Linked DNA regions of Alligator mississippiensis. The protein of the gene in region 2 purifies or fractionates together with the protein of the main gene of each other region. This does not show direct contact. Links are inferred from orthologs where the notes say so. Each region holds a gene or a part of one and is shown on either strand. Other genes may lie near its edges.

Evidence for each region.
Region 1: the proteins of NAPA (region 2) and SNAP23 purify together in Homo sapiens (affinity purification with mass spectrometry; 4 studies listed by BioGRID and IntAct, with this or other methods). This does not show direct contact. The link is inferred for Alligator mississippiensis from reciprocal best matches to the Homo sapiens genes NAPA and SNAP23.

The regions. Positions count from the first base shown.
Region 1 is NC_081825.1:237,544,030-237,551,495, reverse strand, and holds the start of SNAP23 (synaptosomal-associated protein 23), read left to right. Parts: upstream 1-4,432; 5' UTR 4,433-4,521; intron 4,522-4,726; exon of another isoform or gene 4,727-4,817; intron 4,818-5,064; exon of another isoform or gene 5,065-5,192; intron 5,193-7,466. UniProt on the Homo sapiens protein: Essential component of the high affinity receptor for the general membrane fusion machinery and an important regulator of transport vesicle docking and fusion.
Region 2 is NC_081838.1:1,791,587-1,798,835, forward strand, and holds the start of NAPA (alpha-soluble NSF attachment protein), read left to right. Parts: upstream 1-4,171; 5' UTR 4,172-4,261; coding exon 4,262-4,359; intron 4,360-7,249. UniProt on the Homo sapiens protein: Required for vesicular transport between the endoplasmic reticulum and the Golgi apparatus. Together with GNA12 promotes CDH5 localization to plasma membrane.

The DNA.
Region 1 (7,466 bases), on a different chromosome or scaffold from region 2:
TCCCCTCTGTTTGGCAGTGATGAGGCCACATCTGGATGATCTGTGTTTGCCTCATTAATGTAGCCCAGTATTCTGTTAGCCTTTTTGGCAACAAGGGCACACTGTTGACTCATATCCAGCGTACTGTCCACTGTAACCACCAGGTCCTTTTTTGCAAAGCTGCTATTTAGCCATTTGGTCCCAAGCCTGTAGCAGTGTGTGGGATTCTTCCATTCTAAGTGCAGGACTTTGGCACTTGTCCTTGTTGAACCTCACGAGATTTCTTTTGCCCAATCTTTATGGCAATTTTGCCTAGACCAAGGGTGACAAATTCACTTCAGGCTGCAGGCTGGACCCAGATTGCAGGGGCTCCTCAGGCTGTATCTGCATGACCAGCAACAATTACAAAGGATCCATATTTGGAAGATGGCAAAGGGCCAGGACCTGCCACTGATGCCATGTCCATCAGGGTTCAGGGACTATGAATTCTGTAACAGGGCACACCTCCCAACTTGTGGTAGCATGACAGGTTACCAGATAGAATGGTCTGGCATGCCAAATCCAGGCTGCAAGTCATGTTTGACAAGTCATGTTGATCTAGACCACACTTCCCTAGTTTGCTTATGGGAATGCAATGTGGGACAATGTCAAAGGCTTTAGTAATATGGAGATGTACTGCATCTACAGGTTCCATCTCAGCCCTGTCAAAGAAAAAAAAAAACCACATCATTTTTTCTATTACCTTTGGTCAATAAGCCACACATGATGCAGTACATGCTATAGCTTATATGCATCTACACCAGCAAGCTCAAACATTTAAACTGAAGAACAAGAAATCATCCACAAGCTGGACTGTGTTATGCATAGCTTAATATAGACTCTAAATTCTTATCCCATGATCTAGACTATCTTTATATAACCCCTACGTCCCTCAGTGGGTTAAAAGCTTTGTTTAACCGTTTCAACCCTCTTCAATCCACTTTTCCCTCACTCAGCAGTGTTCTCTTCTCTGCTCCCCTTTCCTTATCTCTTGTATTTAAATGACTTTCTTCCTTTCTATTTGGTACCCCTTGTCACAACCCAAGGGTGTGATTTTGTTTGTGTGCGCTTCGGCACTGCTAAATTATTTCCCACCACGAGGAGCTTTCTTTGCAGGGTGCATTTCTTAGTTGCAAAGAGAAATGCACGGTGCAAAGGAGTTCCTGCCACCCGCATGCAAATTTGTGTCCCACTATTGGCCAGTTCTAAATTATTCCCACGTGACGGCTAGTGATTGGCTTGCTAGCCGTATAAGCGGCTTGAGCGGTTTCCGCCCAAGTTGGAGGACTCCACAACTATCAGGAGAAGGAGAACTTCATGTCTCGTGAAGATCTCTAAACGCTGCGGAGCCTATCGGACCCAGCGTATACCTTGAGAAGGCTATAGGGGTCTGATCAACCTCTGGCCTCTCCCCGTCGCCGAACGATCCCTCAACGAACCCCTTCCCTGCGCGCAAGTTCCACGGAGCCTAGCAAACTTCGTGTGAGTGTATCCAGAGCTCTTTCTCCGAGTTGTTTTCTTCGGTTGACACGATGGGCTTGCGTGTTTAGAGCCTTCAACCGGATTGGGCTAGAGGTTCGCGTGGAAGGAACTCTCGTCCGCTTTTCTTCTTTTCTGTCTGTAACTGCAACTCAAGCAAGTTTTCCTGCCTGCACCACGACCATCTTTGGTGTAAGTAAAATAATCTTTAATCAACCGCTAAGCGTCCGTGCCTAATTCTAGTCTGCCGGCCTGCACTCCCCAACCCGCGTGCCAGGGCTGCTGGCCACAGCCCGCGCCGCGCACCCCCGAGAATCTCGGACCGCTCCCGGCCCGCACACCCCTGCTCACTGGGTGGACATTTGTTTGCCTGAGGACAAGAAGCAGCAGCACACCTTGTGCTGCCTGAGATAAACCTATGCTATGTGCCCTCTGGCTTGCGGCAGGTTATGTCAGGTAGGGTAGGGGAGGATTCCAGCAGCCTTACTTGCGGCCCTTGAGGAGTCACAGCTGTGGTGCTCCTGCAGCTGGGAACCTGGCTGGCAGCCAGAGAATGGTTCCAGAAGGCCAAGATCTGGTTTTGGGGGGCACATGCTGCCACCACATGCGCCACTCCACTTTAAGGAGCAGGTTTTTTTGATTCCGCTGCAAGGTAGACAGCATGCAAGTCCATTCATAGTATCTGACAAGGATGTTGTAGCCAACAAAAACTCTATGAACAAGTAAATCTATAAGGTACCACCTTGTCCTGCATTCAAATAAAAGTTAAGTACATTCAGAAGCACCCTAATGAATTGGGGCCTAAAGGGACTATTTTCTCCTCACCTTGTGAGGACAACAGCTAGCCAACTTCTCATACCTGTTATCTCTGCAGTGGTTTCCTGCTTTAATAAAGGTCCCAGCTTCTTATGTTTTCAAAAACAAGCCTCTGATTTTCTCTTAGCTAGACTGAAGAATATTTTAATTACTAGTATAGATGGGGCACAGTAACTTTTCAATACCAAGAAAAGAACAGAAAGGTAAATGATGATATTAGCCTAATGATGCACATGATAGCTATCTGGTGTCTCTTCCATTTTATCTGAAAACAGACTCTTATCTATGGTAGTAGGCTTTTCAGCACCAGTTTGAAAGGATAAAAGAAAAAAAAAATCTCATCACCTGTAGCTACAAATAGTTATGTAATTCAGCATGATCTTGTATATGAGCAAAAATACACATGCCACCTGTAATGTTTTAAATAAAACATACTTTTTTGTAGTCTATGTTTTCTTCTATTGCTTTCAATAACTAGTCCTAAGCAAGGCAACAGGCAAGCAAGAAAAAAAAGTCTGTATCACCCCCTAGTGGCAAATCCATTGCAGAAACATGCAACCACTTAATGATTAAAGGAATCTTAATTAATTCAAATATGCCCCAATCCCCAAGTCCCAATCCTGTAGAGACAAACTTTTAATAAAAAAAATAAGGCCAGCAAGAACTGACTCAGTTTAAGTCTATTTACCTACTCTGTAGGAATGTTGGAAGAATTTATATTTGTAAACAGCTTAAACACAAGAAATGCTAAATATTATTCTATTATTCTAAATATTGCATAAATCAAGGTACAGGTTGATGGCACCTCCTACGCACATATTGCTTCACAAGCAAAATGGGAACTATGAAGTTAAACAGTATTCTGGAAGCTTCAGGACAGACCATTGATTTAACAATACCGTACATATGGAGGGGGAAGAGATGATGCTAAAGCTGTTGTCTTTCACACTTCTTACCAGTACCAAAGGCTAATCAGCAAATAGGCTATGGAGAATAAGTTACCATCTCATCTGTTGCAGCCAATTTCTCCCTACATAAAGTAATGAATGGAGAAATAACAGACTTGACTAGTAAGGGAGGTCCAAGAATAACCCCAGAAACACTTTCCCAACATAACATACTATTCCTCCATGCTCATTTCCTTTGATACGCTCCTCAGAACACATCCGCACCTTGCAATCTGCAAACTTACTTTACACCTTCTCCAGAAAGCATGAGGAAGTGCTTGCTGCATGTAACATTGCTATTTAACTAACCTTTGCATCAACAGAGCAGGTCTCATTCTTGTTTTCTGTGGCATGTGCTTTTTTAGGTTAAGATGTTGGTGTGACAAAGTACAGCTGTAGCTGTGATGGCTTAGACCAGTGATGGTCAACTTTCTGGCAGGCATACCACAAATAAGTCCTGCATCTTTCCCAAGTGCTGCTCCAATCCCCTCCTATGCCCAACCCACTGCTCTGCCTTCTGCTCTCCCCATCCTGTGTTCCCTGCCTGGCTCGCGGCTCCACCCCCGCACACCGGGTGCGGTGTGGCCCGTGGTCCCCCAGCGACCCGCGTGCCACACACGCGCTGCCCGTGCCCCTGTGCCACAGGGACCACCCCTGCCTTACAGAAAAAGCGAGGCGAGGCATGTGTGGGGATCTCCTCCCTAGCCGCCCGCACAGCAGGCAGGGAGGGCCGCCGGGTACGAAGCTTCCTCAGGGGGCGCTGGGGCAGGCGCCCCGCGAAGCCAAAACCCCCGCTTTCCCCAGGACGGAGCCCAGCCGGACCCCGCGCCCACAGCCCTGGCCCCATTCCCGCCAGACTCACAGGCCGCGTCCTCCTCGTCCCACAGCAGAGCGGCGGCCCAGGCCGCCATCACCCGGCGCGGTCCCCAACCGGCGTCTCCCCGCCGCGCGGTGGCGGCGCCGACCCAAAAGGGAACCGCGGCGCGGCGCGAGGAAAGGCCCCCATTCGCTCAGCCAATCGGCCGCGGCGGCGGCGCTCTGCCTGCCGGGATACCCCAGCGCCCGCTAGGAATTGTAGTCCCGGCGACAGGCTGCGTACTCGATCGGGGACGGCCGGGAGGCAGAGGTGACCCGCCCACAGGGCGTTACCGCCAGCAAGCGGGTCTCCGGGACAACGCGCCCAGGGCAGCTCCGGGCGGGACTTCTTGAGCTGTGCCACGTGCAACGATCCTGCGCGAAAGGGGAGGGAGGGAAACAAGAGGTATTGCAGGAGCAACCGGGGGCGCATCCTCATAGCACGAATGGCCGAGCTCTTCTCGGGGTGGGAACTCACGCCGTTCAGCTCCGATCAGGTTCTCCTTGTGCTGGGCCTGGGAAGCGCCACAAGATCATCCCCGCCTGCGGGCAGCCGGCTGCATGGGGACACTGGCGCCTTACTCTGGGGAGCATTGGGAGGGGCTCGAGGACCGCAGGAGCCGCGCACAGCTGAAGGGCGCTCCCGAAAGCGACTGACTGGTGGTCTCCCGGGTCACGCGCTCCTCACAGCCTGCCAGGGAGGTAGGGGCTGAAGAAAGTTGGGCCAGGGATCCCTGGGACACACAGAAAAGCCTTCCAGAAAAACGTCCTGATGCAGCGTAGAGCCGCTCGTTACAGACCAGGCAAAACAGCAAATCGAGTAGCTAGAGCGCAAGTACAGAGGGCTGGGCGCTATATCGGGTGTGGCTTTGGGGCGGTTCCGCCTGCCGCGATAGGCCCCGCCCAGGATGGTGCCCCTCCCTGCCCACCATGTTGAGTGCGGCTCCTCCGAGTGGGCGGGGTTTCCGCTTCCGGCAGCGGCGGTCTGCGACTCGGTGCGGCGAGCGATGGGCTGTTAAAGCGGTGGCAGTGGCGGTACTTTCACTTACGGCCCAGCCTCGAGGGCGGCAGCGGTAGGTGAGAGGTGCCTGTTGTCGGTGGAGCCGGGACCGGGACCGGGGTTTGCCTTCCCGCCTGCTCCGCCGGGGGGAGGAGGCGCGGAGGTGGCGGGTCACGCTGCCTCGGGCGAGCAACAGCCTCTGGGCTTGGGCGGGGGTCGGTTGCGGTTCCGCCGGCCCCTGCTGCGGTGCTTTTGCGCGGGCTGTGAACGGGTCGAGCCGTCCCGGGGCCCGTGCGGGCTGCTGGCCCCTGCGGCGCGCCCCCCGTCCCGTGTACTGGAGAAGCCGAGCGGCCTCCTGTGCCTCCGCCGTGGTGGGAGCGCTGCTGCGCCCACACCTGCTCCTCCGCCGCCACAGGAGAGGGGCTGCCGGGTCCCCTCGGGTCTGTAACCTCTCTGGTGTTGCCTTCGGGAGCAGGCTCCAGGGGACGTGATACCAGGGATCCCAAGCCTGCTCGGGCCAGTGTTTCTCTCTGCGCTCTTGAGCAGCAGTTCCCAACTTCTTTTTTTTTAAATGCCAATGGCTGGTGCCCCTCACTCCCACCCCCCTGCCTCCATCTCCATGTGTGGGCACAGCCAACCCTAGGGGGATGCGGGCCCCGGGGCAAATCAGCCTGTGCGGGGCTGTTGGACCCCTGCAAAGGTAGGGCACAGCAGTGCCATAGCAATTAAACTTGGCGCTGGGGCCAAGCAAATCCAGAGCGCCTGGGACAAGCCGCTTTTCAGCAGAGGAGGAGTCTGCAGGGAGGGTTGGGGGTTGGTGGGTAGTGGCCAGATGCTTCTTCTGCGGCAGGGGGCTGAGCCACCAGCTCCAGGCAGGCCCTACGGGAGACGTGTGGTTGCTCTGCCCAGCTCTACAGAGCCCCCCAAAGCATGGGGGTCAGGGCGGTTGCCCTGATTCGCCCTACCCAAGGGATGGCTCTGTATGTGGGGCACAATGGGAGGTGTAAAGGGCTGCCTGGGAGCCCTCCATGCCCCACAAGCTGGAGCTCTGCCAGCCTGCAAGGGAAAAGCCACCGTTTCCCATGTGTCTTTCCTTTAAAGGACAATCCAATTTTAGAACTTGTTGGTGACCCTTTCATATATTCTTGTGACTGACTTTTGGGTCATGACTCATAGGTTGATAAACGCTGCTTTTGAGGACCAAGCAGCTCCTTAGGAAGGCTTATCAGGACCAAGGGAGAGGGCCTGCCCTAGGGCTGCCTGCTGCTGAGGCAGCTCTTTGGCCTGAGGTGTTCTTCAACAGGGGCTGGCAAGTGGCGCAAAGACATTCTTAATGGAGCTCTTGTTTCTAAACTTGAGCACCATGAGCGATGGTCTTCACTAGTGCGTTTTGAGGCAGCAACAGCAGCTAGCAACGTGTGTAAAATCCTTGTGTAATGATTGGATACCAGCCAACTGGGAGAGGACTCTTGACGCAAGTTATTGGCTTTCCCAGCAGCAAACCTTGACTGGACACATGTGAAGCTGAGCACATTAACGTGTTACCCGGAAGAGATGGCATTACCAGTGCCTATTCTTCAAGCTCTCTACTCTGTGCAGTGTGTTCAGGAAATGAATAAGTGAAGCCTGGGAGGGTGCAGAGTAGTGTGTGTGGTTTTTTTGTGTTGTCTCAGCTGTCCTGTCTGTTTAGATAAGGGACAGTAGCTGGCATGGGGGAAGGGATTTTAACACCTCGTATTACCCATATGGATATGAGCAGAGGACTGAGGTTTTTTTTTCTAACAAAAGCAGAATTCTTCTAACTTCAGTTCATGCAGGAGTTGAGCCTCCTGCTCATGTGTACTGGTCATGAAGGACCAAGGCCTAGGCCCTCTGTTGTCAGTTGAAAATAGGTGATTGAACTTGTAGTAATACTTGGCATTTTTAACTTCAGATCTGTCCAGACATCAATTTGCTGATTCATTGTGCATTTCTTTGAGGAAGGGTTCTTTACTTTGCCGGAAGGGAAACTGAGACATGGGTAGTTATGGCACACCTGAGGCCATAAAAACTTGCTGAGTTTTACCCTTTGGGAGGCCCTGGCTTCCACTCTGTGACTGGAGCAATTAGATCATGTTGGTTTTCTATTTGCTGTCCTTATTTTCTAATGGGAACCCTTCTCTATAAACACAGGCTGCATCTGTCAGTCATACCTGTAGGCACACCCATCAGGAGGTATTGTTTAGACTAGTGGTTCTCAACCTTTTTTGTACCAGAAACCATTTGTAAACATTGATGGCCAAGCGCCAGGCCCCTGTGTGTGGGGCAGGGCAGGTTGTGTGGGAGGCATGGGCATCAGGTTGGAACTCTGC
Region 2 (7,249 bases):
ACAGTAAAGATGATTCATCATTGGAAGCGGTGGCTTCTGCATCTCCTGAAGTCTGCAGACCGAGCCGGACCGTCTTGGATCCTTTGTTGAAACGCATGGGATTGGACTCAATAAAAAGATAAAATCCTCTTGACTGGAGCTGGACTGTTCGCAGTGGCGACAGGACAAGGAGCAATGGTGTCGCGTTGCAGCAAGGGAAGTTGAGGTTGGATGTTAAGAAAAACTTTCTCACGAGGAGGGGATAGTAAAGCACTGGAACAGGCTCGACTCATGTTAGTAGAGAGGTGACAAAATTGACCTTTAAAGCTACGCCTCCGTGAAGCCGGGGATTTGACCCTCACTAACAAACATAGGGAATATGCAACTCGGGTTGAAATATCTAGCGGTGGAGTTTGCAGCAGCTCGGTGTGTAGAAGTCAGGATTTCTTAGGTTCCCTTAGTAGCTGCATCTAGCTATAGCCACTGCTTCTACATCCCTCAAATGGGGAAGCTGCTGCTGTCACGCACCGTGACATCTGGAGCCGGGCTGTTCTTAGTGGGGGCGGATGACTGAACAAGGAGCAATGGGCGCAAGCTGCAGCAAGGGGAAGTTGAGGTTGGTTATTAGGAAAAACTTTCTCATAAGGAGAGTAGTAACAGGAACAGGCTACCCAGAGGGGTGGGGGGAGTCTCCGTACTTGGAGGTTTTTAAGACCTAGGTAGGCTTGTGCAGGATGATGTAGTTGGGGCTGGTTCCGCTTTGAGCAGGAGGTTGGACTAGATGTGACCTCCGGAGGTCCCTTCCAGCCCTCCTTGTCTGTGTTTTTATGATCTACTGAGTGAAAAATCTACTGTGGCAGCAGAAGTATTTTAACTCAGGAAGAATGGTCGTTTGCAAAAGGCTAGAGAGGACTTGTCTTGTTACCGAGCAGCCCCTTCTCTGCAGAGGATGCGAAGCCTCCAGTGGCAGTGCTACCACTGCCCCAGCCCATATCAAAATGCCTTGTGGGTTTGACGCCAGGGACAGGTGGGAGAACCGGCTGCAGACCGGGGTCTGCTACTGCCAAGTGTCTGCCTACCCCCCTCCTCAGGTCGGGGACTACATGCAGGTCGGTCCCCCGGGCAGCATGGAAGTGCCTCTGGAAGCATGGGTTTGATGCGGAAGCCAGTCAGGCCATGTGGGACAACTTGCCCCAGACCGTGGTCGCCTGCCAGCAAGTGCCCGCCTACCCCACCCTTAATGGTCGGGGACCACACGCAGGTCGGTCCCCTAGGCAGCTCAGAAGTGTCCCCGGAAGGGAGCGGGAAGCACCAGGGAAAGCAGGATCATGCTAAACCTGATAGCGGAAGTATCTATGGAGATGCAGGATGGTAATGAAAGCATGATGACGCCCCTTTACGAAGCCATGGTGCGTCCACACCTTGAACACGGCGCCCAGTTCCGGTCCCCGCACCTGCAAAAGGATAGAGAAGAACTCGAGAAGGTCCAGACAAGGGCAACAAGGATGGTCAGTGCTACAGAGGGGCTTGCCTAGGAGGAGAGACGGCCGAGGCCAGGCCTGGTCAGTTTAGAGAAGAGATGCTTGAAGGGAGGCAATAAAATATTAAATGGGAAAGAGAAAGTTGATGGGAATTTATTATCGACTTTCACCAGTCGTGTCCTGTGCGAGATTGTCGACAGCAGCCGTTTAGCAGCTGTTGCCGATTCGTTAGAAGCGCTTCTGCTAAGGCCGACAAGGTTCTTGGGGGGGGGGGGGGGAAATCCAGTATTGTTTATTAGACCAGTTAAAATAGTTGGAAAAATGATTTGTTGCAAGCTTTCAGGTTACAAACACCCTTCTTCAGGCTTATTTACCAGGCAAAAACCGAGGGGTCACAATAGGAAACGAATAGGTAGTTGGTTTTTCCACCCAGGACAAATGAAAGGGGGGAGCTCGTGGCTACCAGGTGCAGCGGAAGTAGAGAGTTCATCCTGATCCATGAAGGGATTGGACCCGTTTTTGGAGGAAAGGGTCAGCGGGAGCGCGGGAGTGTGGGGCACGGCCTCCAGAGCAGAATATCCTCAACCTTCAGCGGCGCTTGTACACGTGACATAAAGTGGCCGCAAGTGGGAGAGGGACGGGGGGAAGAGCCCTGCTCAGACCCATGCTTTGGGGTTGTTGGTCTAAGGACATAGGCAGGCAAGGGTTGTGGGGAGATGTGATCTCTTTTATAGATTCATAGATGTTAGGGTCGGAAGGGACCTCAATAGATCATTGAGTCGACCCCCAAATTATTTATTATTATATGTAGTTGGTCTAATAAAAGAGATCACATCTACCCCAACGCTCAGAGCCAGTCGCTCGCCCTTCCAGCTCCGCTGTCTGCCGCCACGGGGCGCAGGAGACCGGGCAGGACTCGCCTAGGGTCCGACCCCGTTCACGGCTGCTCGGACGCTCTTGGATAACACACGGTTTCCATCTTGGAAGACGCCCATCACCCTGGCCCTGCTGAAAACCGACCGAGGCGTATCGTAATACAGGTGTCTGCAATCTTGTTAGAAGACCGCTGGACGTCCTCATTCCACGCTTTAATTGCCCTTGGAGGGGACGAGCCCACGCGTGGCCCAACTGCAGAACGACCCGGCCCCTCCTTTAGGCCGTGTCACGCGCTTGTGCACATGCCGGTGGCGAGGGTGTTGTCATACGCTAATTGGGCGCGGACGTGAGCCGGCGCTGTTTTCCGGGGGCTGCTGTTCGGGAAAAGCAACGGATGCTGCCTTATCATGTCTGCACGTAACCCCCGTTAGTCCTAACGAAGGCAATTTAACATTGGAATTTGCAAGCTGCCAGGGCTGTCCATAGGGGTTTGGTGCCTTGAGGGTATTTGCTCTTATAGGGGAAGCCCCTATAGGGACTTCCTTGCCTAGAAGCCGAACGTCCTCTCCCCTTGCATACGGCCCTGTATAGCAGCTGTTCTGGATAGGAGCCTTGCTGTATAAGGGTAGGAGCCGAAGCCAACCCTGCCCTGTATAGGGACCCCCTATAGGGGCTTTTCCAGAGAGGAGCCCAAGGATACCCATACTGTACAGGTGTTTAGTTCCAGCAGACGCTAAGGATTCCCTCTTCGCTCCTGCCTCATATAGGGGCCTTTATAGGGGCTTTTCCAGACAGGAGCCTCGGTGGGTAGGGGCTTAGTTCCATAGGAGCCTAAGGATCCCCCCCCCACCGTGCCCCATATAGGAACCCCTATGGGGGCTTTCCCAGACAGGAGCCCAAGGATACCCTCGCGGTGTAGGGGTGTAGTTCCATAGGAGCCTGAGTCCCTCCTCAACCCTGCCACGTAGAGGGACCTATAGAGGGGCTTTTCCAGGCAGGGGCTCAGGGACCCCCCTACCGCACGGGGCCTTCGTTCCATAGGAGCCTCGGGACTTCTCCCCCAGCTCTGCCCCATATAGGGACCCTTCTAGGGGCTTTTACTCTATAGGTACCTAAGGCTCCCCTGCTGGATAGAGGGGCATCCGCCCTATAGGAGCTGCTGTTGGGGCCTCCTTGGCAGTACTGCCATACTTTATCTAAACCTATATAGATACAGGGCTATATCTATAACTATCTGTCCATATAGATATCTATCTCTATGCAGATATCTAGCTATCTAGATATAGATACATATGGATAGATACAGATATATTGATATGTATCTATATATAGATATACAATATATCTATATTGTATCTAAATATATCTAGAGACAGTATCTAGATATATTTTATTTTGTTATTTTTTATTTTTACTCTATATAGATAACAGTAAAAATAAAAGTACAAAATAAAAATATAAAAAAACTTTTAAAATGTCGAATTGAGATGTTATAAAAATATAAGACGAAATATAGGACTTGATAAACCATGTTTAAAAATTATAATAAAGTATACATTTGTTTTAAAAAGTATACTTTATATCTATTCCCCGCCCCCGAGCGCCTATAGCCTTGCACGCCCCCCCCCCCGTGGACATCACGTGACTGTCTCCAGACGCGCCGACTCACTTCCGCGTCACGTGAGGGAGGAGGGGGCGGGGTTTCCCCGACCACGTGCCGGCAATACAGCGTGCTCCCATCACGTGACGCCTCGCATCACTCCCGCCCCTTTCCCTGCTTGGTCACGTGACACAACCCCTCTTCCCTCCCTCTTCCGCAGAGTTCGTCCCGCCCCTTCCGGGTAGTGACGTGCACGGCCCCGCCCCCTCTCGCCGGCGTTGAGTGTCGCGGCCCGGCCCGATCCCGCTCCCGCGCCGCCGCCATCATGGACCCGGCCGGGAAGGAGAAGGAGGCGCTGCAGCTGCTGGCCGAGGCCGACAAGAAGGTCCGCGGCTCCCAGTCCTTCTTCGCGGGGCTCTTCGGGTGAGTGCGGGCGGGGGGTGGGGCCTAGCGCGAGGGGCGGGGCCTAGCGGCGGAGGGTGTGGCCTAGGGGGGCCAAATAGGGGGGCTGAGGGGTATGCAGTGGGGGTGGGGTGGTGAGATGGGGGGGCTGGGTTTGGGGGTGGGGCTTAGTTGCAGGGGGGCTGGGGGGGACCTAGCAGGTTTAGCAGGTTTTGGGGGGTAAAATGGGGGGGCTGAGGAGATGCTGGGGGGGCGGTGTTTAGACGGAGGGGCGGGGCTTAAGTTTGGGGGGGGCATTGGGGGCACTCGGGCCCAGCCCTAGACCTGCGGTGGGGGGGGCTGTCTTTGGGGTGAGGAAGATGGGGGGGGGCAGCTTGAGACATGATGTGGGGGAGGGGCCTAGTAGAAAAGGGGGTGGGGCCTAGCTGGAGGTCTGGGATCTTCGTGGGGGGGTCCCAGAGGCCCAGGCCTGGTGGGGGGGTGTTGTGGGGATGGGGGGGCTCAAGCTGGGAGGGTGGCAAGGGGGGGGTCGCAGGGGGCTGGGGGGGTGCAGGGACTGGGTCCGGGGATTGCTCGGGGGCAGGCTGGGAAGCTGGGTGTGTTGTGGGGGGGGAGGGGCATTGCTCCATGCAGCCTCGTGGGGGGGGGCAGGGGACAGACCCCCCCCCCCTCCACCTGCAGCCTCTGACCTTGCCTTGGGGTGACCAGCTCCCTCCCCAGCCTGGCAGGGGGGGCACGGTGTCACAGCGCTCGGCTCAGCTGGGGGGGCCTGGAGGGGCTGAGACCCCCCCCCCGCCCCCGAGCGAGGAGGGCAGGACTGGCCCAAAGAGGAAGCTTTAGCTGCAGCGCGTGCGGGGGCCTGGCCTCGTTGCTATTAGAGCAAACGTTTTGTGGCCCCCGCGGAGCTCGAGACTCGGGGTAACGATGGCTGGCAGCAAACCCCCGGGGTGCGGGCAGCCAGTTGGGCGCCTGCCTGCTAAATGGGAGACCGGCTCCGGCCGAGGGAGACCGTGGCGCGGCCGCAGATCAGCCCCGAGCTCGGGCAGCGAGTGCAAACGTGTGCAAACGTGAGGCCGACTCGGCAGGGCCCCAGGGTGGCGGCGCTGCCTTCGGGTCTGGGGCCTGCGCTTCCACAGGGAGGTCCGAGGCGGTGGGTGGGGGAGGTTGGATTTGGGGGGCAGGGTCGGGGAGACGCCGCTCGGCACAGCGTGCGCTGGGCAGGGCCGTGTGATTGCTCGCAGATAGCGGGGAGCTGATATTCATCGAGGCGCGTGGGGGGGTGATGACTAGGACGGAAAGAGGAGATGAACGGCGAGGACTGACGGCGAGATTTATCACTGCAGAAATACCTCCGCTCCCGACAGGCCTGACGCAGTCACGGGCGCGAGCTGTCCCGTAGCAAACGCCCCCCCGTCGTTTCCCCGGCCCGAAGGGGGAAGCCGACGTGCGCGGCGGTGGCGGTGGCGGTGGGGAGACCAGAGATAGTAAACAACCTCCATGGCTAAGTCATGCGGTTCTCCCCAGGGGGAGGGGAAAGCTGGCGGGCCGGTGGATTTAGTCCTGTCTCAGCCGCTGGGTGGAAGGGCAGCGGCCTTGCCGGAGGGCGAGGGGAGTGCGTGCAGTTGCAGTGACGAGGGATCTGTTATCTCAGACCAACATGGCTGTACAACAAGGAACACAAAATGCTAAAACTCATGGTTCGGAGGCGATACCTTTCATTAGACTGACTGGAAAAGAGCCAGAAAGTGACCTTCGTTTGCCAGCTGTTGGGCACATGCAGCCTTCTTTGGGCTGAGGGGGATTGAAAGATGGTCAAAGTCCCCTTGGGTAGAAAATAAACTACAGACATCCATCCACCTTCAGCTTCCTTTGTGCAAAATGAAGTTTATTTTCTACCTTAAGGGACTTTGACCATCTTTCATTTCCCCTCAAGAAATTACCTGTTACCGTCTTGAATTTCCCCTTGCAAAGAAATTACCTGTCTTTGCAAGCCCAAAAGCTGGCCAAGAAGGGTAATTTTTGGCTCTTTTCTGGTCAGTCTAATAAAAGGTATCACCTCTCAGCCAAGGTTTTAGCGTTTCTTATTCCTCATTGCGGTGGCTTTGTCCCTTGAGGATCGTGATGTTTTTCACTGGAGCCCCTTGATGCCAAGCGGGACTGGGGAGCTGACGTAGACTCGTCGAAGTTAGGGGCTGGAAGGGACCTCTCGAGATCATCGGGTCCAGGCCCCCTGCGCTCAGGTCGCCCAGCACACGTGAAAAGCTTTGGGAGGAGCGACCAGGGGGAGGCTGGGGCTGGCGTCTTGGGCAGGAGAGGGAGGAGGTGACTGCCGATGGGAAAAGGGGAGCCGCGCTCCCCAGAAGAGACTGTTCTTCCTCTGCCTTCCCAGGGTCTGTACCTGTGGCAAGCAGGAAGGCAGCTCAGCAGGCCAGTTCCTCTCGCATCCGACTGTAACCGCTAGGTCTGCAAACCCCGATCTTGTTCATAGCGTCTAGACGCAGCCAGCAAGACAGCTCCCTGGAGCTCTTCTCTTGCCAAACGTGCTCCCCCCCCCAAAGCATAAGAGCAGCAGCAGATTGCAGAAGAGACAGCAAATGACAAGCACGCAGCAGCTGCAGCTGAGATTTTGGTGGTGGGACCAGGAAGGTTCTTTAATTACTCTTGAGTTGAAAGAGAAGCGGGGGAAAACCCCCCACCCCCAAGGCATTTGTCAGTGCAGAGCCCTGTGAATTTGCGCTGCTTTCTCTTGGATGCTTTAAACGATGTTCCCCTTTTAAAAACCACCTTGAAGGTGTTTTTATCGACGCCGGTTTCCCTAGTGCTGCTTTTAGCGAGCATCCTAAATAAGTCGGCTGCTCTCAAAGAGAAGGGGGGGACCCCCCCCTGCACTCAAGGCATCTGTCAGTGCGGA